2 linked regions of the Sus scrofa genome follow. Each later gene encodes a partner of the first gene's protein in a complex. Links are inferred from orthologs where the notes say so. Each region holds a gene or a part of one and is shown on either strand. Other genes may lie near its edges.

Evidence for each region. The genes of interacting proteins can lie anywhere in the genome.
Region 2: HEATR3 (region 1) and RPF2 share a complex: the UniProt entries of both Homo sapiens proteins name them as parts of the hexameric 5S RNP precursor complex. The link is inferred for Sus scrofa from reciprocal best matches to the Homo sapiens genes HEATR3 and RPF2.

The regions. Positions count from the first base shown.
Region 1 is NC_010448.4:34,745,668-34,749,189, forward strand, and holds part of HEATR3 (HEAT repeat-containing protein 3), read right to left. Parts: intron 2,131-3,522; coding exon 1,990-2,130; intron 1-1,989. UniProt on the Homo sapiens protein: Plays a role in ribosome biogenesis and in nuclear import of the 60S ribosomal protein L5/large ribosomal subunit protein uL18 (RPL5). Required for proper erythrocyte maturation.
Region 2 is NC_010443.5:76,957,419-76,959,743, reverse strand, and holds the end of RPF2 (ribosome production factor 2 homolog), read right to left. Parts: intron 1,800-2,325; coding exon 1,620-1,799; 3' UTR 517-1,619; downstream 1-516. UniProt on the Homo sapiens protein: Involved in ribosomal large subunit assembly. May regulate the localization of the 5S RNP/5S ribonucleoprotein particle to the nucleolus.

The DNA.
Region 1 (3,522 bases):
TGCCAAAAGGTGGTCAAAAAAGAAATTAGAAAAAGGGAGTTCCCATTGTGGCACAGCGGAAATGAATTAGACTAGGATTCATGAGGTTACGGGGTTTGACCCCTGGCCTCACTCAGTGGGTTAAGGATCTGGCATTGCCGTGAGGTGTGGTGTAGCCTGGCAGCTGTAGCTCCGATTGGACCCCTAGCATGGGAACCTCAGTATGCCACAGATGCAGCCCTAAAAAAAAAAAAAAAAAAAAAAAAGGACAAAAGACCAAAACAAAAAGTGGGAAGGAAATTCTGTCATGTGCTACCACATGGATGAAAGTTTTATTATGCTAAATGAAAGAAGCCAGTCACTAAAAGAAAAATACTATATGATTCCACTTATATGAGGCACCTAGAGTCATCAAATGCATTGAGAGAGAAAGGAGAATAGCATTTTGGGGAGCATAGAGGAGGGAGAAAAGGGGGGTTGTTTTAATGGGTATGGAGTTTCGGTTGTGGAAGGTGAAAAGTGCTCTGGATGAAGGATAATATGAGAAAAAGAATGTATGTATTTGTATGACTGGGTCACTTTGCTGTAAGCCAAAAATTGGCACACAACACTGTAAATCAACTATACCTCAATAAAAAATTTTTAAGGAGTTCCTGTTGTTGTGTAGTGGAAACAAATTCAATTAGTATCCATGAGGATACGGGTTCAATCCCTGGTCTTGCTCAGTGGGTTAAAGATCTGGCGTTGCCATGAGCTATGGTGTAGGTAGTTGAAGTGGCTCGGATCCGTGTGGCTGTGGTGTAGGCCAGCAGCAGCAGCTCCAATTTGACCCCTAGCCTTGGAACTTCCACAGGCCACAGGTGTGGCCCTAAAAAAAAAAAAAGCAAAAAAAAATTTTTTTTAAAGAGAAAAAAAGCACTCTGGAGATTGGTCATACAACAATGTGAACATACTCCACACCACTAAACTATACACTTAAAAATGGTTACAATGGTAAAATTTATGTTATGTGTATTTTACCAGTTTAGGAGGGGGGAAAAAAAAAAACCAAACTCCTCTTAAGATAAATCCCTCCAAGACTAAAGGGCAAGAGGAAAATACAAAATAAATTACTATTACTCGACATGTCATCAGGTTATTTCTTATTTGTGTATTTAGAAATTCATGGGAGAAGTGCTGGGTGAAGGTTTTATAGAAAAGAGGCCTACGGTCAACTTCCGAACTCCATGGTTTATAAATAGGCAGGGGGAGGGGGTCCTGAGAACATCATTTATCAGACAACAGTAGTTTGGTAAATTGAAAACCAATCTAGTCTCAGAAGGCTCTGAAATTATGCAAAACTGCTTGAACTGGGGGCTACTTAAATATTAGAAGTTTCAAAACAAACGTGAGCACACAAAGCCCTGATGTGATGAAATGAAAGAATGGGAGTTCTCGTCGTGGCTGAGTGGTTAACAAATCTGAATAGGAACCATGAGGTTGTAGGTTCGATTCCCGGCCTCGCTCAGTAGGTTAAGATCCGGCATTGCCATGAGCAGTGGTGAAGGTTGCAGACATGGCTCAGATCCTGTGTTGCTGTGGCTCTGGCGTAGGCTGATGGCTACAGCTCCGATTGGATACCTAGCCTGGGAACCTCCATGTGCCACAGGTGCGGCCCTATAAAGCAAAAAAAAAAAGAAAAGTAAATTTAAAAAAAAAAAATAGGAGTTCCCCTCTCAGCGCAGTGGTTAATGAATCCGACTAGGGACCATGAGGTTGCGGGTTCGATCTCTGCCCTTGCTCAGTGGGTTAAGGATCTGGCATTGCCGTGAGCTGTGGTGTAGGTGGAAGATGCAGCTGGGATCTGGCGTTGCTATGGCTCTGGTGTAGGCCGGCAGCTACAGCTCTGATTTGACCCCTAGCCTGGGAACCTCCATATGCCGAGGGAGCGGCTCAAGAAATGGCAAAAAAGACAAAAAGAAAGGAAGGAAGGAAGGAAGGAGCACACTATCGCATATGGCTACATTTTACCTGCCACCAATGTCTTTAATAGAATATATTCCGTGGAATTGACCGGAGAAAGCATTGCTGATTCCAAAACATGCAAAGCTGGGGCACTGAAAGACTTTAGTAGCTCTGGATTATCTTCAGTCACCGTCTGCAAACAATATGCTATAAAGAGAAAAATCAAACATTTAGAAACGTGAATTCTAGGAATGATTTAAACCAAAAAAACACATCTGCATTCTTTACAGCTTCTTTAGACAGAGGCAGCTTTTGCAGGAGGCACACACTTGCCCTCCAACATGTGCATGCAAAGGAGGCTTCCTAAACTATCAGAGCCATAAAAGGTCCTTTTCTCTTTTCTTTTTCTTAGAAGTTTCCTTTGGGGCTCAGTGGTACCTACGAGGACTCAGGTTCGATCCCTGGCCCCACTCCGTAGGTTAAGGATCTGGCGTTGCCGTGAGCTTCGGTGTAGGTCGCAGACGCGGCTTGGATCCTGCATTGTTATGGCTGTGGTGTAGGTCAGTGGCTACAGCTCCTATTTGACCCCTAGTCTGGGAACTTCCATATGCCACACCTCTGGCCCTAAAAAAAGAAAGAAAAATACTAATCCTTTACAGAACCATACTTTTATAGAATATAATTTAAAAGGCTCTTCACTGTCATGACAAGATAGAATTACTATAAACATCTATAAAGTTTTAGCCTCAATTGCTGTATTCACTGCAAGCCAGTAGCGAAGAGCCTGCAGACCAAACACCAGTGCACAGACAACGCTCCCAGGGTAGTTCTGTTGTCGATAAGCCCTAGGTTTGGGGATATTCTGGCTTTGACAGTCAGCATGACCTTAAAAGTTAGGGTTATCTGTGATGAAGCAATATTTAAGGAAAAATTTACTTTATATACAAATATGAAGAAGTTCCCGTTGTGGCTAGTATCCATGAGGACACAGGCTTGATACCTGGCCTTACTCAGTGGGTTAAGGATACGGCGTTGCTATTGCTATGGTGTAGGCCGGCAGCTGTAGCTCCAATTCCACCCCTAGCCTGGGAACCTCCATATGCCGCGGGAGCGGCCCAAGAAATGGCAAAAAGACAAAAATAAATAAATAAATAAATAAAGAGCAAATTAAAGGATGCATAAAATATTAACAGACATATGATTCATTTAACTCCTCTCTGGTGTTAAAAAAAGCTCATGGATTACAACTTATATATTAATCTACTTATAAACAACTGGCAGTGCATAAAAGCTTTGATAAAAGAGACCTCTGAAGTATACAAAAGAGGAAGCAAGCACAAATTTATTTTCTTTGAGATACTGTATTCCATACAAACACATTTCTTTCCAGGTATAAAAACCCCAAAACAGATTGTTTCCATTCAAATTAGTAGTCAAAATACTGCTATTGCCCTGATCTAGTTTGGTTTCCAAATACATTTATATACAAATCCATATATAAGCATATATGTACATATACATATATCCAAATGTAACTTTTTTCATTAAGAGACTAATTAAATTCACTCAGGCAAAAAGCTAAAATAAACTGTGATTGCT
Region 2 (2,325 bases), on another chromosome or scaffold:
ACTACCCTAGGATGGGTCAGCTGAAGGACAGGAGGAACCGAATGGGCCCAAGATGGCATGGGGTTATGATGCTAACTGCCCAGTGTGGCAGGGTCCTTCCCGTACGTAGCTGGTGAAGACCCACTGCTTTGCCTCCTTCCTAAATCACTACCTCCATTAGCATTACCTGGACCAGGCAGAGGTCAGGCCCTGGGGAAGGACTGTGCACCCACCACTTCGGATGCTCCTTTCTTGACGCCCCTTCTCCCCAACCATTGTCCATCTATATGCAGAAGGCAGGATATGAATCATTTTAACTTAGCCCTTTATCCCATTTAGCCATAAAATACAAATACCTGCTTCAGATCTAAAACTGCAGTCTTTGTTTTAAGTGAACAATCAGGCAACAGTGTGAGTGACAACAGCTCCCTCATTTTTATAGGGACGAGGAGAATATTAGGCATTTGGAAAGGCTTAGGGAGAGGGAGGGCCAAAGAATGGGTTTACAAGAGAAGAGAAAGGATGCAGGAAGCAAAATTGAGGTTCCAGCTTTTGTTTCATGTCAACAAACTCACATAAACACACGTACACATAGGCATGGAGGGGCTCCTTGACAAAGAACTGAAAACAAAGGCATTTGTTTTTCTGTGTATAAGGGAGCTTCTCTGCCAGGGAGTTAGTTAATCAAGGAAACTAAATTCTAAACTTATGGCAAATAAGTTGGTATTTCTAGGAGGAAGAAATAGAAGGTGTTTTCCCATTTTCCTAGGCACAAGGTCAGGCTTCAAGAAAATGTCAAAATGGTTGGAACCATGAGGTTGCGGGTTAGGTCCCTGCCCTTGCTCAGTGGGTTAACGATCCGGCGTTGCCGTGAGCTGTGGTGTAGGTTGCAGATTCGGCTCGGATCCCTCGTTGCTGTGGCTCTGGCGTAGGCCGGTGGCTACAGCTCCGATTCAACCCCTAGCCTGGGAACCTCTATATGCCGCGGGAGCGGCCCAAGAAATAGTAACAACAACAACAACAACAACAAAAAACGACAAAAAGACAAAAAAAAAAAAAAAAAGAAAGAAATATGATCAGGTAGTAGACACCTCTCTTAGAGACCTATGTTTTAAGACAGAGCTTAAAATCTCAAAATGAGATTAGAGAACAGGTAGAATTACAGGCAAAATAACAGGAAAGTCAAAAATAAAATTCAGGCTATAGGTGTCTGTTTGGAGCTGGGGTCAACTTTCCAGGCAGCTCATACTAAGCATGTAGTTACCTTGGACCATTTCTACTCTCCAGGACTCTCCTCCCTTTATCTAAAACTTAGTCCAAAATTCTCTAAAATACCACTGGTTATTCTGGAGATCACTCCTCACTCACCTACCAAATGAGACAGAGGACCCTGTTGGGGGGTGGGGAGAGGGAAATATCACATCACAGGAAGAAAACAGCGTATCAGAATGTAGTATCTCAAGTAGGAGGCTAACTTCCAACCTAATACTAGAATGTTACTGTTCATAATATATATAATATATAGTTGAGATGAAATCATCAAGTTATAAAAATATATAAAATCTTGTAAGAAATCACCACTTGATAATTCTCATTAGGTAAAGGCTAAAAATAAAAATGCAGTTATTGGTGAAGTTCCATCAATTCTTTTTAATTCTCTTTGCTTTTTTCTCCTGGTCCTCTGTTATCCTTTCTGCAGGTCGCTTCTTCAGCCCCTTCATTTTCCTGGTTTGTAGTTTGCTTAGGTCTTGCTTCTGCATATGAATCCTTCCATAAGTTGTACCAAAAGTATCATGAGAGATATTTTTCTTTTTCTTTGGCTATGAAACAAGAATATATATATTATTTAATGGTGTCCACCATTATGATCTAGTAAAAATCTAGCGTTCAACTCTCATATTAACAATTTCCATCAGTACACATCCCTTCAACGATGTGGGGTCTAGAGCCCTACATCCCTTTCTTCTCAAACTTAAGTACATACAAAGCACTTGGGGATCTTGTTAAAATGTAAATTCTAATTCAGTAAGATTAAGGTGGGACCTGAGATCCAGCATGTCTAACAATGCCCAGGAAAACTGAGAAGCAACGCTACAGAGTACATTAACCATTGTCATGCACCAAGAGAACTTCCTGTGTTCGGCTTAAGGAATTGTGACTATCATTTCAATCTTTACTGGCATTCCAGAGATGCTATTTCGAGTTACTTTAAAAAACCATTCAAAAGTCAAAACACATTTTACGCAAGTACAGGTTATATATATATCTTATGCTTGAAATCCCATCTTCACGATGCCCAAAATGATTCCCATTTTTGCTGAAAATGGGCAGTCTTGGCTACCAGAA